Saccharomyces cerevisiae S288C: one gene and its partners. The protein of the gene in region 2 interacts with the protein of the main gene of each other region in a biochemical or structural test. Each region holds a gene or a part of one and is shown on either strand. Other genes may lie near its edges.

The links.
Region 1: the proteins of CMK1 (region 2) and GPP1 form a complex in vitro, tested with the Saccharomyces cerevisiae proteins (2 studies listed by BioGRID, with this or other methods).
Region 3: the proteins of CMK1 (region 2) and CCT4 form a complex in vitro, tested with the Saccharomyces cerevisiae proteins (2 studies listed by BioGRID, with this or other methods).

The regions. Positions count from the first base shown.
Region 1 is NC_001141.2:251,193-256,367, reverse strand, and holds GPP1 (glycerol-1-phosphatase GPP1), read right to left. Parts: upstream 1,254-5,175; coding exon 501-1,253; downstream 1-500. Other genes in the region: 60S ribosomal protein eL34 RPL34B, read left to right, coding at 1-142; YIL054W (uncharacterized protein), read right to left, coding at 1,508-1,825; YIL055C (uncharacterized protein), read left to right, coding at 2,443-4,326; VHR1 (Vhr1p), read right to left, coding at 4,455-5,175. UniProt on the Saccharomyces cerevisiae protein: Major isoform of glycerol-1-phosphate phosphohydrolase involved in glycerol biosynthesis. Plays a role in osmoadaptation and required for adaptation to anaerobic conditions.
Region 2 is NC_001138.5:168,061-175,642, reverse strand, and holds CMK1 (calmodulin-dependent protein kinase CMK1), read left to right. Parts: upstream 1-1,765; coding exon 1,766-3,106; downstream 3,107-7,582. Other genes in the region: glycogen (starch) synthase GSY1, read left to right, coding at 1-1,378; IOC3 (Ioc3p), read right to left, coding at 3,358-5,721; YFR012W-A (uncharacterized protein), read right to left, coding at 6,333-6,419; DCV1 (Dcv1p), read right to left, coding at 7,147-7,582.
Region 3 is NC_001136.10:195,942-202,082, reverse strand, and holds CCT4 (chaperonin-containing T-complex subunit CCT4), read right to left. Parts: upstream 2,088-6,141; coding exon 501-2,087; downstream 1-500. Other genes in the region: CRD1 (cardiolipin synthase), read left to right, coding at 1-364; YDL144C (uncharacterized protein), read left to right, coding at 2,351-3,421; COP1 (coatomer subunit alpha), read left to right, coding at 3,907-6,141. UniProt on the Saccharomyces cerevisiae protein: Molecular chaperone; assists the folding of proteins upon ATP hydrolysis. Known to play a role, in vitro, in the folding of actin and tubulin. In yeast may play a role in mitotic spindle formation.

The DNA.
Region 1 (5,175 bases), on a different chromosome or scaffold from region 2:
TTACGGTGGTTCCAGATGTGCCAACTGTGTCAAGGAAAGAATCGTCAGAGCTTTCTTGATTGAAGAACAAAAGATTGTTAAGAAGGTCGTTAAGGAACAAACTGAGGCTGCTAAGAAGTCTGAAAAGAAGTCTAAGAAATAAATTTAAATAAGCATTCCTTTTATAATTACTCTAACTTCTCGTCGTACTAAAAAAAAACACTTTTATAGTAAGATATAAAACAAAAACGAAGATTGAATCTTCCTTTTTTATTTCTGTGTTAAATTCTCTAAACCAGCTTGATTTGCGCGAACCACCTGTCACGGCAGATCATCCGAAGACGACAAAGAAAAGGATGCATTACATCGGTTTAAATTTTTCTATTCGTATTTTATAAGTATTATATTATATTATTAAGTCATGCAGATATAAAATTATACAATTGGTCGGAAATGGAGGGAAATCATACATTTTTATTTTATTTTTAGCGTAGTAGTTTTATCAAAAAAATAAAAGAAAATTACCATTTCAACAAGTCATCCTTAGCGTATAAGTAGTCATCAAAGATCAATTCGACTTCATCGGTTTCAGCGTTGTATTCACCGACTCTGATAGATTCGTGGTTCTTGACAATGATGTCACAACCCTTTTCCTTCAAGAAGTCCAAATCGAAAGTGGTAGCAATACCAACGATTTTACAGCCAGCAGCCTTACCAGCAGCAATACCAGCTGGTGCGTCTTCAAAGACAACAACCTTAGATTTGGATGGGTCTTGTTCATTAATTGGGAAACCCAAACCGTTTCTACCCTTTAAGTATGGTTCTGGGTGAGGCTTACCTTGCTTGACATCATTGGCGGTGATGAAGTATTCTGGTCTCTTGATCTTCAAAATGTCGAACCATTTCTTGGCCATGTCACGGGTACCAGAGGTGGCGACAGCCCATTTTTCCTTTGGCAAGGCGTTCAAAGCATTACACAACTTGACAGCACCTGGAACTTCGATGGAGTGTTCACCGTACTTTTCTGGGATTTCACCTTCTAGCTTGTTAACGTATTCTTCATCAGCAAAGTCTGGAGCGAACTTGGCAATGGCATCGTAAGTTCTCCAACCGTGAGAGATGTGAATAACGTGTTCGGCATCGAAGTAAGGCTTGTCTTTACCGAAATCTCTCCAGAAAGCAGCAATGGCTGGTTGAGAGATGATGATGGTACCGTCAACATCGAATAGAGCGGCGTTGATTTTCAAAGATAAAGGTTTTGTGGTCAAAGGCATTGCGATGGTTTGTATATTTGCTTTTGTTGTTCTGATATATTTTAAAACATTGAAACGTTTCATAACAAGGAAACTTGGAAAGAAAAAAATGGCAATCAAGAGATACTTACGAAAGATTTATATACATTATCAATTGAACGAAAATGAACAAGACGACAATATGAACAAAAAGGAAAGAAAGTGATTAACAGAGTAAGAAAAGAAAAAAAAAGGAAAAAAGAAAAGAAAAAAAGAAAAGAGGAACTCACACATCATCAAAGGTCAAAATGGTCAAAATGGTCAAAATTAAAAGACACAAAGGAAAAGGTGAGTAAGGAACAATAAAAGCACATACCATCATCAAACAGCGTTAAAAAAATTATGTTAATGATGATGATCGCAAGAGTAACAGTGATAATGGTGATGATGATTATTCCCATAAAGAAAACCGGACAATGAGAATCCTGCAATTTACCAGGCGCACGCGGGTTCGTGTATGCGAGAAAATGATACGGATTTCCTGCTTGTCTCACTATTAACGCGTGGCGGGGTAAGACCCAAGGAAGACAGACAAAAAAAGCCTTCGGGGCCATGCCATGTCATTGCCGTGGACTGAGACAATTACAATATTGCTTTTGTTCTCTTTCTTTTGACCCTGTGACGTGTTTCGTAAGAATCCCACTTAAGAGATGAAAAAGAAACGTGGTGGTACTTCGCACCCAGACCATACGTCTTCCACTCTCTTGATGGGAGCGGCGAGCTTCCGCACCCACACATTCTAATTGCCGCGCCTTCCTCCCACCCGTACAGAGTGATATCCCTTGGTACGATTGACCAGGGTGTGTGGCGCAAGCAAATTTTCCGTTTTAGTTCAATGATGTCTTAATTGACACTGCGCTTGTTTTGAGCGATGGGTTCGCAGCCCTGGAAGACCCGCAAAAAATTAGGGGAATGGAATATATTCTCTACTCCATTTTTCAAATGTTACCTTTTGTTTGTGTGCATTGTATTATTCCATAGTCGTAATGTTGGCCTTCTTTCGTGCGCTTTCCTAAAGGTTTTTACGCTTGCTTAACTGTTAAGTTAACAAGACTTCCTCCCACACTTGTTTCTTTCATTTTTTTTTTTTTTTAGATTGGTCTTGGCCTCCAGTTCAGTTGGCTGATACACGAGAGTTTGCTGTCTCTCCTTACAATACGCTTGCTTTATAATGACTCTAGAACCACACTATAGTGCCAAGTCGGCTGCTTCAGCCAGTGCCTTTGTTGCCCGTTCTGCGACCGAAAGCTCAACAGCAAGCACAAAAGCTGCTCCTAGGAAAAAGACGTACTCGCAGTCAAATGGTATTCCCATAAGGATTGATAATCTCCCTCCGGGCAAGACTTGGGCCCAGGTAAAATATTTGATAGGCGGAATCATATACCATACCAATATTTTACAGGTGAAAATGCTGCCTCCAATGACTTCCATGGTTCCTCCTTTTATTACTTTTCAGAGTTGCATTGTCATTCTGAAGAACTCGATAGATAACGAGTCCCTGGAAAACTTACTACTTACTTTGAACACCTACCAATGGGATTATCATGATCTGTTCGTTTACCTGTTGCCGTACACTAATGATTCTCCTTCACTGCGATATCCAGAAATCAGTGATAGCAACAATGACGTCCGGAGTGCTCCCGATGAAACTAAAAGATCTATTTCTCCTCGATATGCAAGCCATGTTTCATCTGTGACACCGCAGCCACCATCCGCTTCTACCCCACCTTCTCAATTTTTCAGTTTTTCTCCTGAAGTGAGCCTTCGAAAGAATGAGAACATAACGCCATTGCCCACGCCTGTTCCCGTACCTGTTGGTGTGCCACCTCTTGCTCCCCCGCCTCATGGTCCATTTTCGACTTCGATGCTACCTATGTTGGGTGCTCCTCCGGGAACGGTACCTAATATGCAGATGCCCTATCAAACTACTCTACCTTCACCAACAGCTGCTGCTACTGCTGGTGGTCCACTTGCTTCCCCTACACACTATCCCCGTCGTCGGCATTTCTATCACCAGAACCAAAGCCAGTTTCAAAAATACATGCATAATAGCCCCAGGAATCCAGATACTGGCACAGGCCCTCGTCTTTCTCAGCAGCATCACCTCTCCTTAAGGAACAATAAGATAAATCCCTCTTATAACGAAATATCTGCCCTTTACAACTTGAACATGGCCTCAAATTCCAATAATAATGGTAATATTCCCACTACAAGTACGAATGGTGATGACCGTGCCCTCCAAGCAAAGAATGGTGGAACAATTACACCTTCACAAACTCAAATAAATCACAAAAGATTAAAGCATATCTTTAACGAGAAAAGCTTTAGAAAACAAATGACGAATAGAGGTATGTGGCAGCTGAAGATCATAAATTTCCCACCCTATATACCTATAGAATTCTTGGAGAAATTATCAGAGTCTGATTTCAATGAGTTAATGAACCAAGAGAAGTTCACAGTTATTGAAATTAAAGAGAAAGGACAATTGGAAAAATTTGGAAGGCTAAGATGGACAGTTCTAAAAGATTTTATAAAACTGAAATGCCCCAAGCTATTAAGACTACAGGAAAGACAGTTTCTACAGCAACAAAACGAAGCATCTTTACTCAATGAATCTATGGACGCTCTAAAGATATCAGAAAATGAGAACACCAACGGGAGTGCAAATAATAGCACATACACAAATGGCGGACCTCGAACATCTATCAATAATACAAGGGAATTCTATGTAGGGGTTTATGAAGATCATGAAGAAGCAACTCTACTGAGGTTTGAATTACCGGAAGATGAATTAGAGGAGTTTAATAGAAATTTGCCAACTACTTTTGCACAAAGTGGAAACGTCTCTGACTCCGAAGGTGATAGCAAGGCGAAATACTTTAAAGTTAGCACAATTGTGTATAATGCCATTGTTGGGTTCCACGATAAAGAGCTGTCTGATTTGACGTTCGAATCCTTACAAGACCAGGAATATTCACTGGGGTACAAAATTCATGTAATGGAACTGCCACCATTTGACGAGGATGAATTTGAAAATCAACGGCAGCAGTTCTAAGCATGGATTAAGAGGATATTATTATTTTATCTTACATAAATATGTACGCGAATTGAAAAAGAAAAAAATATTGTGTAGAATGTGTATTAGGCAGTTATGTATGTAGACAATTTTGTTTTGTATTTTTATCAAAGTAAAGGCTGGAAAACCGGCTGTGGTAAATTGCCATTTTGAAAAGAATTTTTGTTCTTTGTAACGTATGGCGCTGGCACAGACTCGTTGTGGTCATTATTATTTGTGTTGGAGGTGGAGGTGCCAGTGTTTAAAGTAGTGTTGCTATTTTCTTCATTCATTGGCGATTTAGAGATCCTATTAAGGATGTTATCAAAGGCAGTTAAGCTTGATTTTTTTGGATCATCTTTTTCTTGTGGTACCAATGGAATAGAAGGCATAGAGGGGTTTTCACCTATGCATGACATTTTGGGCAACGTAATGGGCACTGGTATTTTTGCATCTTGTAGTGGAATGGTGGAAATGTCCTTAATTACGAGATGAATCTCGCTCGTGGAAAAGGAATCAAATAACTTTGCCAAACTTTCATCGTTCAAGAGGTTATCGTTATGGAAAATACCAAAATTCTTGTTCTTGTTGATAATATTAAATAAATTTTTACAGTTTTCCAAAACTTCAGACACCGTGGGTGGTCCATTGCTCAACTGGTGGAAAGTAAAGGCTTGCTCGCGATCATTAAATCTAATGATCACTCTGCGATTAACATCTTTATTGGCCGATTGAGGCTTCATTGGTAGCGTAGTTAAAAGTGTAGCTCTATTCGATAGAGTGTTATTATTATTCAACATAACGTCACTTGAAACGACAGGAGGGCTTCTCTTAACCCTCTTGTTAGGT
Region 2 (7,582 bases):
CACTGCATTAGAAGCGGAGCATTTGTTGAAGAGGAAACCGGATGGCATTTTGCCCAATGGTTTGAACGTTGTTAAGTTTCAAGCAGTACATGAATTTCAAAATCTGCATGCCCTGAAAAAGGACAAAATTAATGATTTCGTCAGAGGCCATTTCCATGGTTGTTTTGATTTCGATCTAGACAACACAGTTTATTTCTTTATCGCTGGTAGATATGAATACAAAAACAAAGGTGCTGACATGTTCATTGAATCATTGGCTCGTCTCAATTACAGATTGAAGGTTTCTGGATCCAAGAAGACGGTGGTAGCGTTTTTGATCATGCCTGCCAAAACCAATTCCTTCACTGTGGAGGCACTGAAAAGCCAAGCCATTGTAAAATCTTTGGAAAATACTGTTAATGAGGTCACCGCATCCATTGGGAAGAGAATTTTCGAGCATACGATGAGATACCCTCATAATGGCCTAGAATCAGAGTTGCCCACTAATTTAGATGAGCTGTTGAAGAGTTCTGAAAAGGTTTTGCTGAAGAAAAGGGTATTGGCGCTGAGAAGACCTTACGGGGAATTGCCTCCGGTAGTCACACATAACATGTGCGATGATGCTAACGATCCAATTTTAAACCAAATTAGACATGTTAGATTATTCAATGATTCGAGTGATCGTGTAAAAGTGATTTTCCATCCTGAATTCTTAAACGCCAATAACCCTATCCTTGGTTTGGATTATGACGAGTTTGTTCGCGGCTGTCACTTGGGTGTTTTTCCATCCTATTACGAACCATGGGGGTACACGCCAGCAGAATGTACCGTCATGGGTGTCCCATCTATCACAACAAACGTTTCTGGGTTCGGTGCCTACATGGAAGACTTGATTGAAACAGACCAAGCGAAAGACTATGGTATTTATATTGTAGACCGTCGTTTCAAGAGCCCTGATGAATCTGTCGAGCAATTAGCAGACTACATGGAAGAGTTTGTAAACAAGACCAGAAGACAAAGAATCAACCAAAGAAACAGAACCGAAAGACTATCAGACTTGTTAGATTGGAAGAGAATGGGGTTGGAATACGTTAAGGCTAGACAGTTGGGTCTTCGTAGGGCCTATCCAGAGCAGTTCAAGCAACTGGTGGGTGAAACAATTAGTGACGCCAATATGAATACTCTTGCCGGTGGCAAGAAATTCAAGATTGCCAGGCCTTTGAGTGTACCCGGATCCCCCAAAGTAAGGTCCAATAGTACTGTTTACATGACTCCGGGCGATTTAGGTACCCTTCAAGATGCTAATAATGCAGATGACTATTTTAATTTGAGCACGAATGGAGCCATCGACAATGACGATGATGACAACGATACGTCTGCATACTACGAGGATAATTAAAACCATCTTAACTTCTGCTAACATATCTTACTCTTTTAGCTGAGCATCAAATTAATTTTAGTATTGCACGTTCTGTTATTCTTGTATAAGTACATAGAAATAATAGCAGTAGAAAAAATAGAAGTAATTTTACCTTTACAGTACATATGTGTTAGTATAAGGAACCTTTTACGTGGGATACTTTGCTTACGAAGAAAAGGCTGAAAAAAAAAAAAAAAGAAACTCCCCCCGCGTTTAGAATGGTGCAGCCGAGCTACCTACGCAGGGGATAAAAAGAACGAAAGCCACATCGACTACAAGCCAGAGTATAAATGGTTTCAATTCTCGTAGAGAACTCACAATTATATAATATTGGAAGACACCAGAAAAAATAACGAGTCAATTACTATGGACGACAAAGTTTCAGAAAAGGAGAGCTCCCCAAAACAAACAGAGGAGGATTCTGAAGGTAAAATGGCACATGTGCAGCCTGCTTCGTACGTGAATAAAAAAAAATATGTTTTTGGGAAGACATTAGGTGCTGGTACATTTGGTGTGGTGAGACAAGCCAAAAACACTGAAACAGGGGAGGACGTGGCCGTTAAAATCCTGATCAAGAAAGCACTAAAGGGAAACAAGGTTCAGCTAGAGGCTTTATACGACGAGTTAGACATTTTACAAAGACTGCATCATCCAAATATAGTGGCATTTAAGGATTGGTTTGAATCAAAAGACAAGTTCTACATTATCACGCAATTAGCCAAAGGGGGTGAATTGTTCGATAGGATTTTGAAGAAGGGTAAGTTCACTGAGGAAGATGCAGTGAGAATTTTGGTTGAAATATTGAGCGCAGTCAAATATATGCATTCTCAGAATATTGTTCATAGGGACTTGAAACCGGAAAATTTACTGTATATAGATAAAAGTGACGAATCTCCACTGGTAGTTGCTGATTTTGGTATCGCAAAGAGATTGAAAAGTGATGAGGAACTCCTCTATAAGCCGGCAGGCTCACTGGGTTACGTGGCTCCAGAGGTACTTACTCAGGACGGTCATGGTAAACCTTGCGACATTTGGTCGATAGGTGTCATTACGTATACTTTGCTTTGCGGTTATTCGGCGTTTAGAGCCGAAAGGGTTCAAGATTTCCTTGACGAATGCACAACTGGTGAGTATCCAGTGAAGTTTCATAGGCCTTATTGGGATTCCGTTTCCAATAAAGCAAAACAATTCATCTTGAAGGCTCTTAATTTGGATCCTTCAAAGAGACCGACCGCCGCAGAACTCTTGGAAGATCCATGGATTATTTGTACCGAATTGAAGACGCACAATTTATTGCCTGGGTTAAAGGAAGGATTGGATGCTCGTCAAAAGTTCCGTAATTCTGTTGAGAGAGTCAGATTAAACATGAAGATCCAGAAATTAAGAGATCTGTATCTTGAACAGACAGAGAGTGATTCAGATTTTGACGAAGGAAGTCAAGCAAACGGTTCAGTTCCTCCATTGAAAGCAACGGATACCAGTCAACTATCCAAGAAGCTATCAGAAGAAGAACAGTCTAAGTTGAAGTCCGAGTTAACCAGCAAAGCTTTTGCACAATTAGTTAACACAGTGCTTGCCGAAAAGGAAAAATTTTTAAATATTAACAGAGTCTGTAGTTCTGATAGCGATCTTCCTGGGAGTGATATAAAGTCTTTGGATGAGGCGAAGGAGAAACCAGAGGGGAAGGATACCAAAACAGAAGAATGATAACAGTATGCCGTTTTACCACACTGGCGAATAAATCTTCAATGACTTTGTAAGCTCGAATATGCGCAAGATTTGACTTTGATATTTTGCACTTTTTCGTCCTCACTTTCTACCTTTTTTTTTTATGCCTTAGTTGAAAAGATACGCGTATCTAATTATGTACTAATAGTCTTAATTTTACATTACTTAATTAATCGAAATGCAGCCTGTAAGGAGTTTCACAATCTTCACGTTCGTTGAAAGCTAGTTGTCTAAGTGCGCTGCCTTTTAACTCTACCATCATCAAAAGAAGAATCATTGTCGTTGTCATCATAAATATCAGCTTCGTCGTCTTCTTCATCATCGACATATTCCTCGCTATCATATTCCGTATTATAGTTTACAGTCTGTCGCTGTATCCTTCTCAACTGTCTCTTGCCTGGCTTCATGTCTGCAAATTGCACTTTCATTTGTTCAAACTGACGAAGAATGAAATAGTAATCAGATAAAAATTCCTTTAATATCTGTAACTTCTTTCTCGCAGTGTTATATTTTGCGTCTTTTGGTAGCGGGTTTGTATTTATGGAGGGATTATTATCAGTGGTAGATTTCTGCTCCAATATGTGCGCTTCATTATTCAGTGCTTCTTTTTCTTTTTCATTTCCCTCCTTTTTCTCATCTTGAGGTTTAACAATTTTATAGTCCAAGAACTCCAAGAACTCCAGCAGTGTTGCTGAATCGTGGCATAATTCATACCAATAAACCTTCCCCGATGTATTTCTGCCTCGTGCAACATCATGCGCCAACGATGGTGTGTCATGGTAAAACAATTTGAATTGGGCACTCATCGATTGTCCATCATTTTCAAACAGTGTAAAAGCGTTGTATTCATTATTTTTGAATTTCGATAGCAATGCTTGTAGATTTCTCAAATCAGTGAAGGTGCTCATTTCGAGTGAGTCCCCATAACTGTGTAATCTTGGCATATAAAAATCACCTATATGGGGAACTCTACCAAGGAAGAACTCTTGTAATCGCAATTTATAAAGTCTTTCCGAAAAAGGATTGGCTAATGGTTGATCAGGTAATTCGCCTTCAAACAATGGGACCCACTTGTCGTACAGTGAGAACAAAAGTTCATCCTTTTCGGATTTTACAGCGTTCTTCAATTCCGCTTTAATTTCCTTCAGTATTTCTAGCTTCCTTGATAAATCTGGTTTTTTACCCTCTTTTAGTTGTTTAACAAAATGTTTTTTCTTACTTCTGATTTCATATCTTGATTGAATTAGTGAGCAGAGTTTTTTAAACTGATTTATGGTATTATCTACCCCTTCAATTGTATACCTAGGCACTTGTTGTGTTTGGATGCCAAAAACGGGATCTTTTTTACCATGAGTTAATTTGTATATCTCGTCATGAATAGCAGATGAATGGGAAGCGCACCAGTCAGTTAACGCCCTCAATAAAACAACGCGATCCATTGGTTTGAGCGCCAAAATTCCATTCTTGTCCATTTCTCGATTATACAAAGGATTTGATTCCAATGGGAGTGGTTCATTAGCATTCCAGGTATATATATTTGGCGTTAAAATTTCTGGATGACTGGGATCCACCACTGGTGTTTGTTCATCTTGTTCAAAAAGAGCAGTTTTAGGTTTGGAGATATCTTGGTCACTGGGGAGTTGTTGACGCCATTCTCGTGGATACCCCCATTCGCGAGCTACAAGTCTTAACCGATAAAGAGGATTGGAAAATACTTTCTTGGAGGACGATTTTAGATTCTCCCAGGTTGTTAATGGACCTTTCTTCTTGGCACTTTTACCATCAAAATTTTCAGTAAATGTTAAATCTAACAAGGATAGGAACAGTAAATTCATTTTGTCTTGGCAATAGACGATATCCTTGATGGCCATAAAATCAGGATATAGCAATAAGGAGGTGTCTTCAGGACCCTTCACTATACCAGCTGCGCTTCCATTAGGATCGCCGGGATACAAATCTAAACCGACCTCAAAATCTTGGAATGATAAATTTTGTAGGTCAGAATGGAAAAAAGAACTAAACTTATTTATGAACGCCATCAGCTTAATGATATCTCCAGCATATGGCACAGGCTTCATGTTCGGATTTTTTAACCTAGAGATGACACTATACTGGTTCTTGAAATCAGAAGTAAGCAAGGGTATTACAGAAGTCCAATTGCTAGGGATCAAAGCGGGTTCTACTTGTTCATGGGCTGGTTTAGGTTTCGGCGCCACTTTTTTGTCATTAGTCTTCAGTGTAGGTTTGCCATCCTTAGCAATTGAGGTAGTCTTCTTTTTCTCTACTTTATCATTTGATTTAGAGTTCTGTGTGGAAGGTGCCTTTTTCTTAGGAGGAGCAGGTCTCTTCCTCTTGGGTTTATTCGCCCTTTCCTTTAACTCTTCCTCGTATTCATCATAAATGCTCGTTCTTGGCTTAGGAACACGTCTTGATCTCCTTAAATTATCAGAAGATTGTGAAACACTAACACTTTGATCGGTTTGTAAGGGCATAGCCATTGATACGCGATCATGATCATGGTCAGCAAGCTGTGCGGAAGAGCTGCCCTGGGCTTCTTGCTGCAAATTCTGGATAGAATTGGATGGAGAATCCATAAACAATAGGGGATTGCAAACTTTGCTTGAAGTACTTGGTAAGTGATAGTTTTGTTGGCCGAAACCAATGTGGAAGATATCACCATCTTAAGAAATTAAGTCCATTCATTAGTATAAACTCACGTAATTTCAATGAATTTGTTAAAGTTTCAGCAAATCGTGAAGCACGATATTTCACTTTTATGATCCGAGAGGGAATATTACTAGTACTTCCACGCATAAGGAAAGTCAATGTTAACAAATACCGCCATACCGCCATACCTGTCCTCTGTAGTCACTGCTAATGTTAATGTAAATAAATTACATCTAAAAGTTGTTTTCTCTTCAGTAATTTTAGAAACCGTTAAGAGGAAAAATGGGCACTTCCTTTCTTTGTTTCAGAAATTAAGCTCAAAAAGATGGGCTCGATAAAAGTAGCATACTATTTACTCTATCTTATTTTTATTTTCTATATACTAGTCTATCAGACTCAGACGTCAACGATGTGGAATACGGATGGAATCATTAAATAGTAGCAAGAAGTACTTTATTCTTATTTTTCAAATTGCGGCGCGCCAACAAAACGCGTACAAAAAAAGCAGATTGGATAGTACTTTATTCTTGTTATTTTGTCATTGGAAAGTATAAGCTGGTTGTGGATTACTCTTCACACGATGTGCCTGTTTTTTGTAGGCGGGCTTGTACTTTCTGGGGAGCATGCTGTGTATGTTGTAGGTCTGTGGCAATGTTTGTCGGGAGTGTTCGCTGTTACCATGAGTTGTCTGTGAGTAGTAGCGATTGTAATTGTGGTTGTATCCTACTGGTCTTCTTCGGGAATACCAAGGAATGAAAGAGTTATGAGGAACCTCACTTTGATCCTGGTAATTATTTGGTTGTTGTAGTTGATATTGGCGGGGCTCTGTGAGACAATGATTTTTTTTTGAATATATTTTAAAGCAATCGGCTGATTGGGTAGCCTCAACGCCAAATAACCAAGGAGGGTCGTAGTTATCTTGTGAATGGCTTGAGATTCCCTCATAATATAAAATATTTGCCTTTTTTTTTTCAGTAGGCATTTCCACATTTTCTTGCTTTGCAGGTAAGTCGGTTATATTGATTTCATCCAAAGATAAGGATTTTTGATTTTCAACATGCCTTCTAGAAAATATTTGTTTACCATTCAACTTTGGAGCGAAGAAACTCACCAAACCTGCTTGCTTCAATGGAGATTTGATTTCAGGCGGTGGTTCATCTTGATTTGTTACCGCCAGTTTATCTTGATTGGGATCTAAGGTCCTTGGTAGATCATTAAAAAGACTTGTGATGTCATACACAGATTGGTCTGTGCCCTTAGTTGTTTGTGGATAATTTTCGCCAAGGGAACTTGATGTTTGACTCGTTCCATATAGTTTGAGAATACTGTCTACGTTCTCTATACTAGCTTCTTTAGCTATGTTTTCTGTCTGACTGCGCAGACGTATCAAACCTAAAACTGAGAAAATGCACGCCAATAACGAGCAGAGGGAACAGGGAACAGTTAGCCAGCCACACCAAGTCGTATAAGGATGAAATTGTAACAGGATCACGGTGCATGCAAAGTAACAGGATCACGGTGCATGCAAAAATAGTTGATAAAAGTGTCAATATGTGTAATATAGCGTTGGAAGTAATAAGTGAGACATTAGTTCCTCCAGTCTGAAAAAGAAAAATAATAACCAAGGGAAGTGCAAAAGAAATGAAAGTCAAACATGTAGCAACCGGTATCGAAATCAAAAGTCCTCCTATTGTATGTCTTGCCTTAGGACTCAGCCACCAACGTTCAAGAGAAGGGCCAGGTAATATTTCTTTCGAGGTGTTATATATTAAACGTACTCGAGAGCAG
Region 3 (6,141 bases), on a different chromosome or scaffold from region 2:
TAGAGATGTGCTACTAGCCATAAGTGCTTTGTTTATACGATATAGCACTTTAAAGTTGAAATATCCTGGTCGTGTGGCATGGAATTCCTATTGGGATATTGTTCGCTATCCCAGCGCTGAGGTCAGACCTTCCCAACTATCAAAATGGAACACGTTTTTCCAAATGGTATATCTTGGATCTGGAGTATTATTACTTTTATATGAGAAAGAAGAGGGCTGTGAAAAAACCGAGGAGGATTTCGAAGATAGAAAACAGGACTTTCAAAAGGCCTTTAGCTATTTAGGGTATGTAACCGCCACGACCACAATAATGAGCGGAGTATCCTACGCATTAAAGAGAAACGCTTTTAAACTTTTAAAATAGTATAATTGCGATCCTTTTTGAAAAGGGTCCTGACTTTTCATTTTGAATGTTTTTTAGTTTTTATGTAGTGGAAAATACACTAAATCAACATATATATGTATATATGCATAAACATATGGATACTGGGAAACCCATGTTAACGGCTGAATGCAATATCATCAATACGTAAGATGGATTTAACACATTCAGACGCTAAGGTAATTGCACTTGTACTAACAAGTACGGGTTGTAAGATGTGTTCTTCATAGGTGTTCGTAGTACCAGATCGTCTAACAGAGATACCGTCATTCAATTCACCATTTTCATGCTTAGAGCGCAATTCTGTGACAACTTTGATACTATTCAAACCTGCGTTTTCAGCCAAAGTCGTTGGAATAACTTCCAAAGCAGAGGCAAATTCTTGCCAAATAAAAGCCTGTACACCTTCCATAGACCTTGCTTCCTTACTCAACCTACGGGATATTTCAATTTCTGGAGCACCACCACCAGCGATTAAACCTCTCTCTTTCACTAGACAACGAATAACACATAGTGCATCATGGAGGGAACGCTCTGTTTCATCAATGATCATGTTGTTTGCACCACGAATAACAACAGAGACGGTTGGTCTTGCATTATTGTTTCTTATACCAGTTACTCTAACTATCTTGGAACCATCGCTATCGATCTCCTCAACTAAATCAGCGGAACCCAATCTATCTTCGGTGAACAATTCTATATCAGCAATTGGCTTACAACCCAAGCCCTTCGACAGAAACTCGATTTCTTCTCTCTCGATATCCTTTACCACCATTATGTTCAATTTTGACAAGAAATGAAGAGCCAAATCATTTACCGCATCTCTCAAGATGGATTTCTGAATCAACAGCACGTTACACTTGGCCTTTTTAATTTTTTTACAGATATTTAGCAAATACGCTCTTTCTTCTTTAAGGATCTTATCCATTTGTCTATAGTCATTAACGATGATATTATTTTCTGTGTCGGGCTTTGGAGGAGATATTTGGAATTGAATTAACCCAATCTTTGCTTTTTCCTTTCTTGTCGGACCACCAGCAGATTTGATTGCCGTTTGTGTCAAGACCACACCATCTATCATTTCTGTGTCATCAATGGTACCACCAACTTTTTTGACCAGTCTGATATCGTTCAGGTCAACATTCTTAGAGTTTTCATCAGATATCTTCAATACGGAGTCCACTGCCAAGGGCGCCAAAAACGAAGAGTATTGAGACACAATCTTGGAACTCAAAGAAGTGGATGCAGCACGAACCAGCTGTTCTCTATCGCTCAACGAAACCTTATGGCACATTTCTAAAAGAATATCGACAGATCTCTTCGCAGCACTTTGAAAGGAGTCCGCAATGATGGTTGGATGGATGCCCTTGTTTAACAGCCTCTCAGCAGCACCCAATAGAGCTCCGGTCAAGATCACCACAGAAGTGGTACCATCACCGGCTTCCGAGTCCTGCGCGGCAGAAACCTCTACTAGCATTCTGGCCACCGGATGCAGAATGGCCATCTGTTTTAGAATGGTGTGGCCATCATTAGAGATGATGATTTCTCCACGAGATGTCTTAATCATCTTGTCCATACCCTTGGGACCCAATGAAGTACGGATGGCATCTGCAACAGAACGTGCAGCGATGATGTTGGCTTTGCGAACCTCTTGAGGTTTTTCCTTGTTCTTAAACGTGGCGTTAGATGGAACTTTAGCAGACATCGTTCTATACTCTCCTTTACCCGTCTTGCACACTTGCCGCACCTCCAATTACAATTCATAACCTTCATGCCCACTTAGCTATATCAACCTCTTGAACTGTATTCAATTAGCCTTTCTTGGTGGCGAAACGAAAAAAATTTCAGTTTCCCCGTGGCAAGTGATAGTAATACCAAATTATATAGCCTTAATTAGGACATATTGATATACCTCATAAACTACAGTCCCGGTGCCAGGATACAAGTTGGCATAAGCTAATGTCGAAAATGTCTAGAATACTAGTTATCGGGGCAGGTGGCGTTGGGGTCATTACTGCGCTTTCGTTGTGGCTTAAGAAGGAGAGCGACGTTTCCTTGGTAGTCAGATCTGACTACGATAGGGTATTGAAGCATGGCTACACAATCGAATCATGTGACTATGGCCGGTTAGAAGGTTGGAGACCCCACCATATTTACAGCAGCGTCGAGGACGCTGCTTCTGCCGCAGACAACCAAGGATACAACTATATTGTAGTGACTACCAAGAACATCATAGATGGGCCCGTTAATTCAAGGGTGTCCAACATCATCAGACCTGTGCTTGAGAAGAATAAAGAGCTACATGGGCCGCAATTGACGACACACATTTTACTGGTACAGAACGGAATCGATATTGAGAAGGAGATATGGGCGGAATTTCCCAGAGAGCAGTATCGTTACACGGTGCTTTCTGGCATCCAGTTAATCGGATCCACTAAGATCGGGTCAGGCCATATCAGTCAAGTGGGCCAGGACCACTTATCGTGTGGAGCTTTTGATCCACAGGACGCTGCTGCTATCCAGGCTGCCAACGACTTCGTCAGGATGTACAGCAACGAGGGGCAAAACTTTGTCGAATTTGACCCTAGGGTCCGTTACTCTCGGTGGAAGAAGTTGCTCTACAATGCAGCTATCAACACATCCACGGCACTTGTGGGGCTAGACGTTCCGCGTTGCCTGGAGTTTGGGGTTAACAAGAAGAGCACAGAAATTGAAGTGTTCCACCCTGCCATGAGGGAGATCATCGCCATTGCGGCGAGTGAAGGCATCATTATCGAAGAGGAGTTCATAACGATGTTTACAGAGATTACCAGGAAAAAGGTGTTCAAGCCATCCATGTGCGTGGACTGCGAGAAGGGCCAATTGATGGAGCTAGAAGTCATCCTAGGCAACCCCATAAGAATCGCGAAAAGAAACGGCGTCGCTACACCCACTCTTTCTATCTTATACAACCTACTTGTGCTAGTACAGGCCAAACTAAAGGAGCGGAAAGGCCTATTGAAGTTCGACGAAAAAACTGCCACTCTTGTGGACGAGTAGTTCCAACCATTGCTTGCCTCGTTGACGAGCCTTCATCTAGTATATTGTAACACATAATTTAGTATGTACTCTTAACTATTATTCTTATTGTCAGCATTTATACGACGTACAGAGCGACCGAAAATTTCGACAACACGAAACGAAATCGACAATTTGCCAACTTGAATAAATAACAGATCCGTCTTCGAGACTGTGACGATTGAGCCTCGATTCAGTAGCATACAGGGACCACAAACTTGTTTGAAGAGGCATTGCAATTAGGTAAATCATAGAATTGGCGAAACCAGCAGGATTTTCCAAACATTTGTTACTTACCCCCTTCTTTGCTTAAGATATAAAGTTTTTTCTTTTTATTTTATCTTCCCTTTACACTTTTGAATAAAAACATTATCATACCTGTTTACAAATTCGCGGTTTATTTAACCTGAAATCAGTATACTTTTTTTCTTCTGTAGTGTCTTTGTTCATTTCATTACTGGATCAAGATGAAGATGTTAACTAAATTTGAATCAAAGTCCACTAGGGCCAAGGGCATTGCCTTCCACCCCTCCAGACCTTGGGTTTTGGTGGCTTTGTTTTCCTCTACTATTCAATTATGGGATTACAGGATGGGAACACTACTTCACAGATTTGAAGACCACGAGGGCCCTGTTCGTGGGCTAGATTTCCATCCAACCCAACCGATTTTTGTTTCGGCAGGTGACGACTATACCATTAAAGTTTGGTCCTTAGATACTAACAAATGTCTATACACCTTAACTGGGCATTTGGATTATGTCCGTACCGTGTTTTTCCACCGTGAGCTGCCTTGGATCATATCTGCTTCTGATGACCAGACCATAAGAATCTGGAACTGGCAAAACCGTAAGGAAATTGCATGTTTGACCGGCCACAATCATTTTGTCATGTGTGCTCAATTTCATCCAACCGATGACCTGATCGTTTCCGCTTCTCTGGATGAAACCATCAGAATTTGGGATATTTCCGGTTTAAGGAAAAGACACTCCGCTCCTGGTACTAGTTCATTTGAGGAGCAAATGAGTGCACAACAAAATCTATTGGATGGCTCTCTTGGTGACTGTGTTGTCAAGTTTATTCTAGAGGGTCACACAAGAGGTGTCAACTGGGCCTCTTTCCATCCAACTTTACCATTGATTGTCTCCGGCAGTGACGACCGTCAAGTTAAATTATGGAGAATGAGTGCTACGAAAGCTTGGGAAGTTGATACTTGCAGAGGTCACACTAACAATGTTGATAGTGTTATCTTTCACCCACATCAAAACTTGATCATTTCTGTCGGTGAAGACAAAACGCTAAGGGTTTGGGATCTTGACAAGAGAACTCCAGTAAAGCAATTCAAAAGAGAAAACGATAGATTTTGGTTGATTGCAGCACATCCTCATATCAATCTATTTGGTGCAGCTCACGATTCTGGTATTATGGTTTTCAAGCTCGATCGCGAAAGACCATGCAGCTTTATCCATCAAAACCAGTTGTTTTTTGTCAATGCGGAAAAGCAAATCCAAAGTTTCAATTTCCAGAAAAGAGTCGCTTCATTACCTTATGCGTCCTTAAAGGGTATTGGTCAACCTTGGGATGCATTCAGAAGTATATCGTACAATCCCTCCCAACATTCAGTTTTGGTTAATGAAGCTAATGGCAAATTTGCTCTCGTTATTTTACCAAAACAACCAGTTGGAGCTGTGGAGCCAACAAGTGTCACCCAAGATACAGGTAATTTTGCTACTTTTGTTGGTCGTAATAGATTTGTTGTTTACAACAAGAACACTGAATCTGTTGAAGTTCGCTCTCTCGAAAACAAAGTTACAAGAAATATCAAAGTAGAGGAAACAGTAAGAACTATTGTAGCTGCAGGTCCTGGATCTGTTTTGGTCATACACCCCAGAGAAGTTATTCTTTATGATGTCCAACAGGGCAAAAAAGTATCCCAATTGGCTGTTAAAAACGTCAAGTACGTTTCGTGGTCCTTAGATGGTCAATATGTTGCATTGATGAGTAAGCACACCATAACTTTGGCTACCAAAAAGCTAGAATTGATTAATTCTATGCATGAAACGATTAGAATCAAAAGTGCCGCTTGGGATGAAACTGGTGTATTAATTTATTCAACTTTAAATCATATAAGGTACTCACTATTGAACGGGGATAGAGGTATTATTAAAACTTTGGAGAAAACTTTATATATCACAAAAGTTCAGGGAAAATTAGTGTACTGCTTGAACCGTGAAGGTGAGATTGAAATTTTAACCATTGATCCTACAGAATATCGCTTCAAAAAGGCCCTGGTTAACAAAAATTTCCCAGAAGTTTTACGTCTGATAAAAGATTCTAATTTGGTTGGCCAGAATATCATTTCCTATCTGCAGAAGTCAGGTTACCCAGAAATTGCTTTACAATTCGTTCAAGACCCACATATCCGTTTTGATTTAGCTTTGGAATACGGTAATTTGGATGTTGCCTTAGATGAAGCCAAAAAACTGAATGATTCTAGTACTTGGGAAAGATTAATCCAAGAAGCCTTGGCACAAGGTAATGCCAGCTTAGCTGAAATGATTTATCAAACTCAACATTCTTTTGACAAACTTTCCTTCCTGTATTTAGTTACAGGTGACGTTAACAAACTATCTAAAATGCAAAATATCGCTCAGACTCGTGAAGACTTTGGAAGTATGCTATTAAACACCTTTTACAACAATTCA